Rhinolophus ferrumequinum: one gene and its partner. The protein of the gene in region 1 binds, or shares a complex with, the protein of each later gene. Links are inferred from orthologs where the notes say so. Each region holds a gene or a part of one and is shown on either strand. Other genes may lie near its edges.

Evidence for each region. The genes of interacting proteins can lie anywhere in the genome.
Region 2: the proteins of SERPINA10 (region 1) and PROZ are in contact, whole or in part, in a crystal structure (PDB 3H5C), measured with the Homo sapiens proteins. The link is inferred for Rhinolophus ferrumequinum from reciprocal best matches to the Homo sapiens genes SERPINA10 and PROZ. Residues at the interface, in NP_001094077.1 of Homo sapiens: Arg88, Lys89, Ser91, Met92, His94, Asp95, His257, Asp259, Lys260, Tyr261, Asn282, Phe283, Lys305, Met306, Asp308, His309, Leu310, Ala311, Leu312, Asp314, Tyr315, Leu316; in NP_003882.1 of Homo sapiens: Cys129, Pro131, Cys141, Leu142, Pro143, Ser151, His250, Met251, Arg252, Asp254, Ala257, Glu259, Asn260, Glu284, Lys285, Asp286, Phe287, His290, Leu291, Thr336, Thr337, Arg338, Arg390, Ser392, Leu393, Trp394, Gln397.

The regions. Positions count from the first base shown.
Region 1 is NC_046289.1:8,842,600-8,850,520, reverse strand, and holds the start of SERPINA10 (protein Z-dependent protease inhibitor), read right to left. Parts: upstream 3,076-7,921; 5' UTR 3,052-3,075; coding exon 2,994-3,051; intron 2,886-2,993; exon of another isoform or gene 2,779-2,885; intron 535-2,778; coding exon 1-534. UniProt on the Homo sapiens protein: Inhibits activity of the coagulation protease factor Xa in the presence of PROZ, calcium and phospholipids. Also inhibits factor XIa in the absence of cofactors.
Region 2 is NC_046287.1:55,685,139-55,692,603, reverse strand, and holds the start of PROZ (vitamin K-dependent protein Z), read right to left. Parts: upstream 3,066-7,465; 5' UTR 2,988-3,065; coding exon 2,927-2,987; intron 1-2,926. Other genes in the region: F10 (coagulation factor X), read right to left, coding at 7,249-7,465. UniProt on the Homo sapiens protein: Appears to assist hemostasis by binding thrombin and promoting its association with phospholipid vesicles. Inhibits activity of the coagulation protease factor Xa in the presence of SERPINA10, calcium and phospholipids.

The sequences.
Region 1 (7,921 bases):
GGATGAAGGCCCAGCTACTCTGGGTGAGGCCCAACTCGCAGTTGCCAGAGAGGTGCTCTCTCAGCTGCCGAAAGAGGGCTGGCAGGAGCCAGGGCCAGGTCTGGTTCTGGGCCTGGGGGCGGAGCCCGCTCTCCAGCTGGGCTTTCATCTGCCCTTTGGCCCCCAGCGTCAGGACTGCCATGGCAGAGGACAGGCCCAGCGGGGAGAAGACCACGTTGCCTTCGTGTCTCATGGAGATCTTTCGAAGCAGGCTGAACCCCAAGTTGGAGGACTCCTCAGAGAGCTGCTGCCCGCTGGCCGTCAGCCAGGTCTCGTCCCTCCCCTCAGCAGGCTGCACTCCCTTGGTGGTCTCGTTCTGGGCAGTGGGGGGCTGCAGAGTCTCTGGCTCTGCCTGGGCCTCTGGTGACCAGGGACCAGGGGCCAAACCAGGCACCAGCCACACGTCGGCCAGGAGGCAGGGGAGCAGGAGGCTCAGCACTGCCTTCATTTGCTCAGCTGTGGAGGCCAATGGAGCACTTTTCTTCAGCAGCGAGCCTTGGGAGAAAAGAAAGCAGAGATTATTTTTAATGCCTAATACAGTAACTCCTGCCTGTGTCATGATACAACCCTCCAGTGACCCCGCTTCCTTCTTGTGGGGGGCTGGGGCTTGGCTCATGCAGCCAAGTTCCCTCAGGGAGACCTGGAGCAAGTGGGGGTGCTATTTGTTCACGTGATGAGGAGATTCTTCCACAGAGCAAAACCTCCTCCACCTCCCATCCCCTGCCAGCCCTTGGGCAGCTGGCCTCCCCCAACTTTTCCATGCGTTCCACTTCCTCCCGGACAGGACATGCTCTGGCCTGCAGCCCTGACTGGGTGTGGGTCAGAGCAGGGCCTGGGTCAGGGGGTCTTCACAGACCTTTTATCGATCTGTTTCATTCATTGCCCTTGATTGCTGGGCCCTATAGCAGCCCATCGAGCTGGGTTTCGGGGACCTGTGTCTGGGGCATGTTTGGCTGGGGATTTAGAGGGTCTCGGTGGTGATCAGGACCAGGAAAAGGGAAAGTGCTGCATTTGCCTGCTTGGGTGGTCAGAAGTCTCTCCCCTACCCCTCTGCTCCACCACTCCACCCAGCCCTGGGGCCCCTTACACCTCCTTGCAGGTCTCCCTTCCTTCACTACCCCGGAGCTCCCTAGGATAGAGATGATGACGAGCCAGCTTGTCCAGCAGAGGCCTGGGTTAAACTCATCTAATCCTCACAGTGACCTGTGGAGTGTGTCCTCGCTCTCACCGCCCCAGGTTACATGGTGGAGCCAACCTTCCAGTACCGGCAGTGGGCCTTCAAATCCCGCCCTCCTCACCACTACCCATCTCTCCGGGCTCCCTGGCATCCTTGGGCACAGAGCCTGGAAAACACGAGCACCCGCACAGTTTCCATCTGAATAAACGCCTGAGGGCTGGGCTGTGTCCCTCCGCAGTCTCCACACTCAGTTCCTGATGTTCAGCTGATAGCACCAGGCCTGTGACCCAGAGGCTGACTGGTCACCCAGATGCACACACACTCTCTCTAGGCTCATTGCCCCAGGACGGCCTGGGTGGGGCGGGACCACTGAGCCCAGGGCACAGAGCAGGGGAGGCTGCAGAGCTCACGGGCGTTCCCATCAGCAGAGACCCTCATTCTGAATCAGGCCACCTGTAGCAAAAGGTGGTGACAGGATGAAGTCCCCAGGCCTATTTCTGATGCAGGGGGCTGTGTCCTCGTCTGTGCCTGGTACAAAGTGACACCGGGCCCCAGGACTCAGTGCACTGCTCCTTATGCTGAACAGGGCCACATAATTCAGGACCTCACTCATCCCACAGCCTGAAGCCACTGCCCGACTCAGGAAACACTTCTGCTGTGTTTCGTAAATGTCTGTGTTTACAGAATCCTGATCAATTTTAAATGGCCAGCCTTGTTCAGTAGCTCACGCCAACATTGGGACTGCTGGGTAAGGACCTCCGACATTGCCCAAACGTACCCCAGGCTCATGCCTTCATGATACAGGCAGACCTCATTTTCTTGCGCTCTGCTTTGCCACGCTTCGCAGATACTGCCTTCTCATCACCGTGGAGGCCAGACCCTCCACTGGCACAAAGATTAAGCCTCACTAACGGTTCAGATGATGGTTAGTATTTCTTGGGTAATAAAGTATTTTTTAATTACATTATGTATATTGTTTTTTTAGACATAATACTAGTTAGTGCACACTTAACAGACTGCAGTATACTGTAAACGTAACTTTTATAAATGCACTGGGAAACTATACAATTCACGTGACTCTCGGTCACAATATTCACTCTCTTGCGGTGGTCTGGAACCCCAGTACGCACAGCACCTCCGAGGTCTTCCTGCATACAGTAGTTAGCCCTGCTTTGTAAATTAATAAATCACCTCCACAGCAGGGTACTCCTGAATGCAGCTCACTTCTCTCTGTGACAGCTGTCAGGAAACACTTCCCGCGCAGCAGACAGATGTCACCCCTTCCGGTTGCTAAGTCTTACCGTGTAGCTCCGTCTGGGGTGGCAGCCCAGGAATACATGGACAGTCCTACGTATCCCCCCCTAGCGTCGTTCATCAACTGAATGGTACAGGATCTGAATGCAGGGGCAGCCCTCGAGCACTAGGGTGCCATCAAGCACACCATGGGTGCATCATCCTAAATAGAAGCTGAGTGGTAGGAAATCAACCACTCAACACTCCACAGCCCTGAATGTACCTGGGCAGCACCCCCACCCAGCCCGGAAAGTGGGGAGCTCGCTCACCTGAGCAGGAGGGTCCCTGGAGGAAAGTCAGGGACTTGAGTGTGGCTTCCACGTGAGTGTTGTGGACATGAACTCTCAAGCCTTAAAAGCCTCATCGTCTCACCTCCTCCCTGCAGCGGAAGGCCCCTGTGTCCACAACATGCTTTGTGCCCCCCTTCTGCCCTCCCCAAGCTAGGAGTGGGGGATCGGTGCTGCCCAGGCTCCCTCCCCCTCACCTTGGAACCCATCCAGAGAGGACAAGGATGTGTCTCCCCAGCCCTCGCCGTTAGACATTGCGAAGGCCTCCCTTTAAATGGCTGCTTCTTACCGGTGAGTGGCCCCCAGGTGCCAGGGAAGGTCCTTCATTCAAGGAAAACCAGAAGGCGAGGGTTTGCAGCCAAATGCCTGCAGCAAATATTTGCTATTCCAAAGGATGGTCCTGTGGGACCGTTACTGATTAACATCCTGCTGGGAGATGGTGGCGTTTCTGGAAAAGCAAAGGCAGAGAGGCTTCCCATCTTCCCCAGCTGCTCCTCCAACACTGAATGGGACGGAAACTTCTCCAGGGGAACTCCTGCTTCTCAACTCCAGCTTCCAGGGAGATGGAGTTGCTTCGGGCACTGAGCGCTGGAAGGGGGCTCCCACCAGGCCTCCTGAGTCCCCACCTCAGGGCTGGGCACTGCGTGGGGGCGGGGCAGAGATGACAGGAACTATTTCCCTGAAACCCCACCCCCCCAAAGGAACTTTCAGTCCAGTGGGAGAAAAGGACATGTAAATCACTATTAGCAATACAAAGTCATTTCAAGGTCAACCCACTGCTTTACCAGACTCATGAGACTGGAATCCTCAAGGACCTGAAGTCAAGAGTACTGGAGACCCTTTAAGACAAAAATCTCAGACCTATTAGACACCCCTTTTGATAACACAAATATTTTATGTGCCCCTCACTATCCTGCAGTGAAAAGTATAGTTAGTATAACATACCCACGACATTTTTAAAAAAGCAAAATACTGCTTGAGCCACAATATGGAGGGGAAGTGAAAGTAAATTAAAAGGAAATAGTGTTTCTTTTAACATGTAGACGCTCTGGCATAACTGCACTGGAAGTCTGAGCGGACGCCGCCGCACACGGGGCCAGTCGGAGACCCTCAGCGCTGCACAGGCTATCACCAGGATTACTACCAGCCATGTGATTGTCTGCAATGGCGAATCATGTTTGGGAAAGTTAAAAACAAAAAGAAAACGGAAGCAAAGCAAATATAAATCTTCCTCTGATTTACATGGTTGTCTTCACAGGAAATTCAGTGGGAATTAAAACCTTGGGAGGAAACGGTGTTTTCATATGAAATAAAACACCCGTCGGATAACCTATTGTGGGGACAGAGCCCCAAAAAGCAGTTTCCAGGCTCTCGGCCTCACGTAGAAAGGTGCTGGCTCAGGTAGTAAATGGCCGTCGACTGTGATCAAATGGCCATCAGCTGTGGCTAGTTGGCCGCCAGCTGTAACCAGTGAGCCATTGGCCACTAATATAACTGCGTGGCTACGCTAGCAGCAAGTGGGGCCTAGCAAGAAGATGGGGGCTGAGCCTGCAAGTGGCGCAGTGAGGGTTGAGAATTGTGTGGCTCCTGGTCCCTGTGTCTCCAATCCAGCCGCCAGCGAGAATATAGTAATATGACTCCCCTACCTATGGCTCCGTGGGTGTTCCTTTTCGGCCTCACCATGTCCTGCGTTCTTATGTGGGGAGCGGGACCAGAGACCCCGCAGGCCGCCCTGCATGACAACTGGTCCAGAGAGCAGAGTCCCCTGCATGACACACGGCGAAGTCGGCAGGATCCCCCGCACTACACCTATGAATGGGGTTTTCACCCGTGTGAGCTTGGTGTGGGATAGTTCCATCATGTGGGACCTGGGCCACTTTACTGTGGTGGACAGTCCTGAACATTCCAGTATGTCTGGAATCTCTGGCCGTCTTCACTGAATCCCAGTAGCGCCCTCCAAAGGTTTGTGAACATCAGAAGTGCCCCAACCAGTTTCCAGAATGTTCCTTTGGGGCAGTGCCTGCTCTATGGAGAAGCCCTTCCTTAAGAGGTGGCAGTGTAGACAGCAAAGCTGGCCTGGACTTCTCCGCTCAGACAGCACAAGAGCCCCTTGGCCTGTCGTCCGCTGTGCCTTGCAGCCGAGAGGCAGAACCTCAGACAGAGGAGGCAGGACTGCTTCCTGCAGGTTGGGGTATGGAACCTTTGCCAAATGTCTGCGAGGAAGCAGGCGTGTGAATGCTGTGAGGCACGGCCGTGGTCACGGGGGCTTCAGAAGGGATGTAAAAGTCATTGAGGTGCATTTGAGCATCTGGAACGCTCTTAAAACTGCTGCCATTCAGAAATGGATCTTTATAAAGAAGGCAGCAGAATGTACTGGAAAGAGTGTGTACGTCAGACACCTCTGGGCTGGAAACCCGAGTCCTCCAAATTCCTAGCTGCCAGACCTTGGGCATGTAATCCAGCCTCTGAGCTTGCTTCCCCCTCTGTAAAACGGCCAGAACTGAGCCTCTGGCCGATGCAAATCTCAGAGCAGCTAGGAAGCAGGAAGCTGATAGAAAACATCGTTCCCAAGGCCGTGGGCCCTGGCCCCAGGAAGTGTGGCTCACAAAGTCTCTTCCTTCAGCGAGAACACGAGTCCTGCCCTGCTCCCAGAACCTCAAACTCAGTGCCAACCACCGTAGCTTGAGCTCTTTCGCCAGCTGTGCGACCAGGAGCAGCTCCTTAACCTCCCTTTGGCTCTGTTTCCTGATCTGCAGAATGGGGCTGCCAAGCCTGAGTGGTAAGGACTGTTGTGAGGATGCAATGAGGTTGTGCCTGGAAAGAGCTTGATACCTGGTAGGAAGGGCTAAGGAATGGTATTTGTCGTATAATTTTAGAGCAGAATGCACCCAGAACCCCGATTTGGACGTTACAGAGGAGAAAATGCAGACCCATGGCCATTAAGGTCTTCCTGCCAGTGTGGGAACCAGAACAGCGTCAGGCTACCTGACTTCCGGTTTGCCCTGGATTTCAGCTTATCACTCACGTCTGTAGAGAAAGGTTGGGAAAGATCTGATAGGAAGGCCTCTGGTGACTGGACTAAATGCCGAGGCAAGAGAACAGCCCTTCCTGGAACTCCCCACAGGCAGGAAACACAACGCCCCCAGCAGCACACGCGCACACACATGCACACCGCGTGCACACAGCTGTTCTTGACTCTTCTCTGTCTGGTTATATAGCCTTTCCTTATTTTCCTTTTGTGCTGCTGGTCATCACTTATTTATTTCAGCTTTTAATTTAAAATTTTTATTTTTAAATAATTCCAAGCAAGGTAATAATGTTGCAATGATAGTTCCAAAGAACTATCACCCTTTACCCAGATTCACTAATTTTTAAACACTTTTCACGTATGTTTTACAATTCCCTTCTCTCTCTCTCTATTTATATCTGCATGCCCCTCCACGCATTGTCTTATTCTGAATCATTTGAAGTGATTAGGTAGTCCCGAGAATGAGAATATTCTCTTATGTAAGCAGTATCGAATTATCAAATCCCAGAAATTTAATTTTGTTACATTACCTGAGCTACAGTCACATTCCAGTTTTGTCGATTGCCCCAGTAATGTCCTTTGTGGCATTTTCATATTCAGTAATAGGACCCGCTCCAGGGCCATCGACTGCATTTGATGCCATGTCTCCTTCGTCTCCTTGAATCTGGGGCAGTTCTTCAGCCCTTCCTTTGTCTTCCATTATGTTGACATTTTGAAAAGTGGAGGCCAACTGTTTTATAAGTATTGTCAATTTGGGTGATTCTGATGTATCCCCATGATTAGCCTGAGATTATTCATTTTTGGCAGGAATAGAAACAAGTATTGGGACCATCTCAGAGTATCACATCCAGAGGCCTCTGATGTCTGTCCCTAATTGGTGCTGTGAATTTTAATGACTTGGTTAAGTTGATGTCCATTTCTCCAATACATAGCTACCATTTCTCCTTTTTTAATTAGTATTTTGTGAGGAGATACTTTGAAATAAACTTAAATACCCTGCTGTTCATGAAACTCTCCATGCCCCCAGATTTAGCATCCATTGAATATTCTTTGCTGAATCAATTTTCAGTATGATAGTCTAAATCCATTATTCCTTTCATATTTATCAGCATTCTCAGTAGGGATTCCTGAACTCTTGATTTCATTCAATGCATTTAATCCATTACTGTTTTTATTATATTATGTCTATGTGTGCATATATTTATTTATTTAGATGTTCAGATTGTGCCAGGTATATATATATTAGAAATATACTAGAAACCACGAGTTCATGCCTGTAGTTCACATCCTACTCCCCAGGACTCTTCCTTGCTTTCTCCGTTCCATATATGCATCCCTCTTCATGCTCAACCCTACAAAACACATCCAGTAGCCCCTCGCTATCCACGGAGGGGATACGTTCCAAGACCCCCAGTGGTTGCTTGAAAATGTGGATAGTACCAAACCCTATATATTCTATGTTTTTTCCTATGCCTTCATATCTACGATAAAGTTTAATTTATAAATCAGGCACAGTAAGAGATTAACAAAGTAATAAAATAGAACGATCATAACAATATACCAGAGTAAAAGTAACGTGAATGTGTCCTCTCCCAGAATATCTTACCGTATGTACCATATTCACCCTGCTCCTTCTTGTGACCTTGCCACACAAGAAGCAGATGCCTACGTGATGAGATGAAGTGACGTGAAATTTTCCCATGTAATAGTTTTGGACTGCAGTTGGAAACTGCGGAAAGTGAAACTGAAGATAAGGGGGGACTACTGTAAATATTGTCACATTTGCTATACGAATTCCAATATGAAAAACAAACCTGGAAAGAAGGCTTCTTGTTTTTAGTATGAGGAATGGGTCCAATTTTATCCTTTTTTTTTTTAAAATGGCTATCCAGTTGTCCCAACATCATTTATTTAAAAAGTCCTTCTTGATCAAATATCAAATTTCCATTGTACTTGAGTCTATTTCCAGACATTCTAACCTATTTATTTCACTGGTCTGCCTATCTATTAATGTACCAGTACCACAGATTTAATTAAAGAATCTGTGTTACATGCTTTAATATCTGGTCAGACTTGTCCCCTATTCTCCTACCCCCA
Region 2 (7,465 bases), on another chromosome or scaffold:
CTGCAAGAGGAAGGCAGGGAACAGCATCATAGCTCTGGACCATAGAGATGAAAGGGGGTGGAAGGAGGGCTTGAGAGGGGCTGTCCTCAGTCATCATCCTCTGGCATAGAACAAGAGGCTCCAATTTCCAGCTGCCTGGAAACCTTCTTGAAAGACAACTGGTGTGGCCATTTCTTTGTCGCTCCCTCCATCCTGCTGCCTGAGACATAGGTGGGGTTGGAGCTCTGAGCGTCATTCTGCATATGAAGGAGGACTGAATGGTGAGCCTCCTTATAAGGACACCAGTCATTGGATTTAGGGCCCATCCTAATTGAGGATGGTTTCTTCTTAACTGATTACATCTGCAATGACCCTATTTCCAAATAAGGCCATATTCTGAGATTCTGGGTGAACATGAAGTTTGGAGGACACTGTACAGATTGTACCCACAGATTTCTCCACTGCAAGAGAGATACTTTGAGACTGAGTGTCCTGTTACCCAATAGTTTTTAACGGAATGGTTTCAGCATCCTTGGTTGTTTTTCCTGAATCAGTTATTACCATTATAATTGCAAAATACTGATTTTATAACTCTCATTTCTTCCACATTACTAATTGGCATTCTGTTGTAAAGAGAACTTTCTCTTCTCCCACTTTTTATGAATTTAACTGATTCAAAAATTTGAGTTAATATATTTTCCATTTCAGAAGTTCTAAAAATTTGGTTCTTTTTCACATGTGTTTGAGCATTTTAATGCCTCTCATTTCCTTCTCATATTTTTATCACATGTTTCTTAAGACGGGTTGAACTTTTATTTTGTGTTCTGTGTCTGAACATTAAGGTCTGATTCTATTCTTTTCCCTTCGGTTCACGGTTGTCTTGTTTCTTTGTGTGTTTGGGGTTGTTTTTCTTTTACCATGAATGGCCCGTTTTCTTCAGAACGTTAGGGGTTGGAATTATCTGGGGCCCAGAATGAAAGTGGATTTCTCCAGAGAGGATCTGCACCTCCCTTTCTTAAGGTGGGTACTTCCCATACAGGCGGATGTGACACCAGATTACTGGGGTTTCCAGACCACTGGGCCAAACTGTAGCGACTGATTCTTGAGAGATGTTTTTCTTTCTGTACCCAGTGCCAATATCCAGTTGGTGAATTTGTTTCTTGTTCCTCTGTGTGGAGGGCTGAGCCCTGTCTGCTGGGATGATGTGGAGTCTCCTGGGACTGTGAGATTCCAGGGTCCAGCAGAAACCTGAGGGTGACCGTTTAGTTCATGCTCACCTTTCTTTTATTTTATTCTTTGGCTTCCGTTGATTTCTTCCCTTTGTGCCAGCCCAGTGATGCATATATTTAAAACGATATAAAACATTTAGTCTACTTTCAGTTTTTATCAGGAGCGTTTTTCTTCTGGGTATCTGATCCACAGCTCTTCTAGAACCGAAATTTCACAAATCCTCATGTTTCAGCTACTGTGATTGTTTCATGTTGTATAAGGCCATATACAGTATTGGAAACTGTATAATGTTACTTGTGGGTCTCTCCTACTCACAGACAAACTGAACTGTAATGAGCACAACACGTGAAGAGTTTTGGATTTTATTCTAAGTGTTTTAACTGGCGGAGGAATATGACCGGCTTAGTGTTTCCCAGTCACGCTATTTGCTGTGTAGACTGTGCAGTTGGTAAGGGTGGGCAAGCTGCTGTGGGCCCGTTGGAGACCTGGCTGCCCTGGGCTGTGTTGCCCAAGGGGAATGGATGAAAGCCCCGGGTGTCAGCGAAGTGTCTCAGCACCATATTTAAAAAGCAAAACCAGGAGGTGAAAATAATTTTAATAATATACTTATTTAACCCAATAGATCCAAAATATTATTTCACCATATAATGGTGAATACAACTGTTAAAAACTATGAATTCAAGTTTACATTCTTATTTTGTGCTAAATCTTCGCAATCCAGTGTGTTTGGAGCTCACAGCAGTCTCACCTCGGACCCACCCTGTTTCCAGGGCTCTGAGAGAGGTTGACAGTGGCCAATGCATTTGGCAGAAGGGGCCGGGAGGCTGCTGAAGGGTGAGGGTGCTGACTGACTCCTTACCTGGCTGAGGCTGCTGGGGAAATGAAGCTGCATTTACAAGGCTGGGAGAGCAGAGCAGGGGAGGACATGACAGAATGGGAAGGAATGTTAAGGGCGACAGTGACAGATGGACCCACAATGAGGCTTCCGAGGTCTAGAGACCAAGTGCCTCCACGTATAATATTTAATGTCTTGATAATATGAAATGAAGACATTTTAAAATGGTGGCAGGGCTCATAATTCCCTCAAAAGGAGAAAGTCAAACGAGTTGACTTGCGGAAATGGCTGTTGGAGCCTTTTCTCCCATAGAGTAATGGGTGGGCTCTTACTTCCTGAGCTGACTGTCACAGGGACACAAAGGCACAGATTCTCCCCAGTCTTCCAGCTGCCATGCGTTGGAGCAGAGTCAAGGAGCCTCCTTGCCAGGTCCGTCTTAGGGAAAAGTGCAGTCGCCATGGGGTCTGGGGACCCCTGGGCCACAGGGCACCAGGCCGTTTGATTCTCAGCTTTATAGTTGGTGGTGCAGGGTTGCGGAGGTGATGCGGTGCAGCTTCTGTCTCCCCTAGAGAAGCAGCTGCGGGATGTGGCCCCCCGCCCCCACCCTCACCACCAAGGTCAGTCTGTCCGCCTGCCCAGTCCTGGGCCCCTCAGCCTGAGCCACTTACTCAACTTCTCACACATCTAATTTTTCCTGCTTTTGGGAGACCCCACCATCATTGCCAACATATTCGTCACGAATGATAAAGAGACCAGGAGGGACTCTTTAGGGGGCTGAGTTAAGTCCATGCTGGTCCCTCAGGGCCTCGCCTGCCCTAGGAAACACCCACTCGGCCCAACCCACACTGTGAAAAGGGACGTGGTCCGGAAGCAGATGCCTACCTGAGGGCTCGGCGCTCTGGAAGACCAGGAGGATCAGGAGCAGCTGGACACAGCCTGCCATTCCCTCCGGGCTGCTGAGGGACAGGTCTGGCAGCACAGAGGCCAAAGTCCGCCCTGGGCCGTGCTCACAACACAGGGGGGGGGCTGCTTCAAATGACCAGCAGCTCTAAAACACGTAGCCACGCCGGAGACAGAAGCCGGAAATGAGAAAAGAAGTGCTCCCTGTTGGGAGTACATTTCGCATGGAGTTTTATTGAACAAATTCAATAAACATACGCTTCGGTTCTGTATTTTTCTGTTTAAAGCAAAGAGGGAAGAAAAGGCAGAGAAATGAAAAGCTAAGGCAAAGAGGGCTTTGGTGAGGTATTTAAGGAGACACAGCTGGGTAGATTTCTGGAGTGAAGTCAAGAGGTCCTGTCCAGGGAAATAAGGTGATGGACTGAGAGATCTAAGAGATGCATGTAGCCCCGAGTAACAAAGCTCAGGTGGGCTTCCCCTGGCCAGGTGTTCTGGGCCTGGGGATACAGCAGTGAGCAAGACAGTGGCCTGGAGCTTACATTCTAGATGGGTGGGAGGCACACAGGAGGGATTGGGATACAGGGAGGCAGGGAGGTAGAGAGAGCCTGGGAGTGGGAGAGGGAGGATTAGGGAGGGAGAAATGTCAAATTTCGATGTCCAGAAAAGGGGAGTGGATAAAGGGGTCCAGGCCAGAGAGCCTCCCTTTGGGAGAGAAACCTGAACACAGTGCGCTAACGGGGAGACCCTCCAAGGCACAGAGAGTGACGGAGCCCTGAGGGAGGGCGCAGCACGGAGGCTGGTGTGGCAGGAGGGCATCCGTAGGAGGGCAGTAGAGGACTCGAGATGGGAGAGTGAACCTGACCTTAGAAGGGGTGGGCCAGGGGTCAGCCAATTTTTCTGTAAAAGGCTAGAAAGCAGACCACAGCACGGGGCCTCACCCACCTCTTGGTGAGACCTGCACAGCCAGGTTTCCTGCGGTGCTAAGTGCCACCTGGAGGAGTGGACCTAGGGGACATTTTGTCAGAACCAAGGGTGTCTTTAAACTGAGAATTACGAGATGATAAATACTCTGAGCGTTGTGTGACAGGACAGCAAACTCACACCCCATACTCGACTCTAATACTAATTCTCGGTTACACACTCACGGGGTGGATCAGCACAGCGCATTGCCCCCCACCCCCGGGAATGCTCTCTTTGCATCTGCCTCTCTGCCTCTGTCTTTCTCTGTCTCTCTGTGTGTCTCTGCTGTCTCTCTCTGTCCCTCTGTTCTTTCCTTCTCTCCCTTACACCTCCATAGATGAGGGGATTCCCTTCTGTTAAGGAACATCTGGTGGAAACCCCCTGCCTCCGTCCTTCTCTCGCACTGCATCCTGTTTGTTTCCTTCAAAGTCTCATTTAATGTAGTTTCCTGGGCGTTTTGGAGTTTTTGACACTGACATTTTTGGAGCGCCCAGGCCTTCCTCAGCTGGATTTGCCCGATTGACCTCTCACGTTAGGCTGCGGGGGAACCCTGCATCGGTGATGCGCGTCCTTCCCAGTGCCCTGTGTCAGGGCACACGTCTGTGGTCTCGTTGTTGGTGAACTCGTACCTGGTCACTTGAATAATGTGACCAGCAGATCTCCCCATTATAAAGCTATCCTGTCCTGTTTGTAACTGAAAAGTCACTTCTGGGGCCATGCCCTGAGACTATGAATAGCTTGTTTCTCAAGGACTTTTCCACCAGGATTTAGGTGTTGGTTGATGGCTTGCCTCAATCAGTGACTCCTGTGGTGGCAGTAGCAGCAGTAGGCGACCTGCTAAAATAGAAATTTAAGCTGTCCCGTTCCAGTTTAGAAAGCAGCCCCCGTGGTCCCATTGCTCATCCTGCTAAAAGGCCTCAGCCCTTGTGCCCCACGCCTGTAAGCAGGACCTCAGGACCACACAGACCCCCCAGTGAGCCAGCACCCCAGAAGCATGTGCAGGGTCACCTGTGTTCTTGCCAACCCACTACCACTGTGGTTTAGAAGCAGCAGTGCTGGGTCGGCCCCCATGTAGCCAGATGGCACTCTCCTTTGCCTCCTATCTCACGCGAGGCGGGACCTCTTTGCCCTTTCAAACCTCATAACACCATCCAGAACCCACTCCATGTTATGGGGTCACTGTGCTCCCAGGCTGTCACCTCATTCTTCTGCCCTCAGGAACTGAGCATGCGTGCGTGCGTGCGTGTAGTGGTGGTGGCAGTGTCTGGGGAGGAGATGGTTTTTATGGTAGTATCGTAGCCTCTCCCTCACGCTCAGGAGAAAAATGTCAAACCCTTCCTTTCTCCCCTTCTTTGATTCCCCACCCTTGGCTTCCTGCTGATCTTTATGCCCTCAAGTCCCCACCTTCCACACCAAGCAGCCCCTGAGGGAAGTTCTCTTGATACCAAATAAGGGAATGTCCCTTCACGCACAAGCCTGGCACCATGTTGAGGGTTGACAGGTAGTTGAGGTGGCTTCATTAGCTCCATTTTGCCATGAAGACAGTGGTACTCCACGAGGGAGGTAAGTTGTTCCCGGGCACACAGGAATGAGCAGACCTGGATTACCTCATCTGTGAGGCCCAGGCCAGGGCCCTCCCTACGGCACCGAACTGCATCTCTTTACCTTATTTCCTCTAGAACCTCACTGAATTGAATTCTGCTTCTGGCTGAGGGAGATAAGAAGCCCCATGGAAGCGATGGAGCGTCATCCTCTGTTCTACCTCAGTTTCCCTTCCTCTCTGATACATGAACTCAATCACCAATAATAGTGGCCAACAGTGAGAGATCAAATAGCAACAGGGAAGGTGTGTTTTATTTGTGAATCTTCCCGAGTTCTCTCTGGACCCCAAACAACCTTTGATCTCCAGAAATAAGAACCCAACTTTACGGTTTGCCTCTGGACATAGACCACTCAGCTGCATAGAAAACCCTCAACCTGACAACAGGATGGTCTCCTGCTGGCTGAGGCCTTTTCCCCAGGAAGGGCCTCTGGTGCCCACTCGGCAGTGGCTCACTTTTAGGAGTCAAGGCAGCAAGAGGAGAATCATCACCCTCGGCTTTTCCCGCTCACCTCAGACTGTTTCTGGGAAATTATACTTGCCCACATTGATTTTTCTACCTTTGCAATGTCTCTTGTTTACAAAACACTCTAACCTTGCAATATCTCCTGTTTACAAAAAAAAAAGCTGCTGACATTTTGGGGAGTTTTTGTAGTGGGACTTTGAGACTTTGCTTAGCAAAGTTACGCAAACTGTACAGGGACATTTGGAACATACACTGGCAGGTCTGGTCTGAGGTGACCTTTTCCATTTTCTAAAAGCATATTTTGTTTTCATGACCACTTAAGTGCAGGTTCCGGAGCCAGTGTGGACAGTGACAGCGAAGGAGCTGGCATTTAGACATGACCCAGTTGAGGACAGGGGATCCCTCCTGCAGCCCCTGCCAGCACACATCACACACTTGGAGGCCACCTGAGGAGCTGTAGAAACTTCAGGGGCATATGCCCACCCCATGGACTCCAGTTTAAGTGCTCTGGGCTGTGGCCTGGATGAAGGACTCCAGAGTCCCCTGGTCTGGGGACTGGTGGGCATGTAAGCTGCTCAGGAGACTGTGCCAGGGTGGGCCGGGGCCTGGGCACACTTTAAAAGTGCCCCAGGTGATTCTAGCGTGAAGCCAGAAAGAAGAACCAGTGGTTAAGTCAATGTTAAAATGTCCTTGCCCACGAGAAGCTCTCACGGCCTTCCCTTCCCAGGAGGCTCCTGACAGACACATTTCACCTTTCTCTCAGTCCCAGATGGTAAATGAGGGGCCTGGGGAGCCTACACCGGCACACGTGGGGAACCCCCACCCCGACCCCAGGGTGAGGCCTCCTAGTTATGGGCTGGCCCCGACCTCTGCGGCGTCTTCTCTCTGTACTCCCAGAACCTTGATCATTTATTCTCAAGTGTGCTGAGTATGACTGGCCAAGAAGTCAGTTTAGCTCAGTCAGAAACAGAAAAACATACTATGAATGGAAATAGCCCTGTCATGGTTTTGAGCACAGCAGTCATCTTGGGGCGTTTAGACCCCTGTCCTACAAAGTATAACATTTCCTGAAGCAATTTCCCAACCTGGCAAGGAGCAAAGGCAGGATCTACAGTTCCAAATGAAAATTTCATGTCCCACTATAACAGAACAAGAACAAAATCAGGATAAGGAACTGACATTAACCACTGCAGATAGGACACCTACTCCAGGATTCAGCCGGTTCAGAATGGCAACTGTTCAGACAATCACTTTAATGGGGGGAGGCTTCGGGACCCCTCACCCACCCTGGGCCTTGGCCTTGGCTTTCATGGACCTATCGATCCACTTGAGGAAGTTGGTGACCTTGGTGTAGACTCCGTACTTCCCTTTCTGTGCACATCCTTCACCCCAGCTGACAATGCCGGTGACAAAATAGGTGTCCTTGAACTGGGTGACATGGGGGCCCCCACTGTCCCCCTGACAGGCGTCCTCGGGCTTGGAGTCGTAGCCAGCA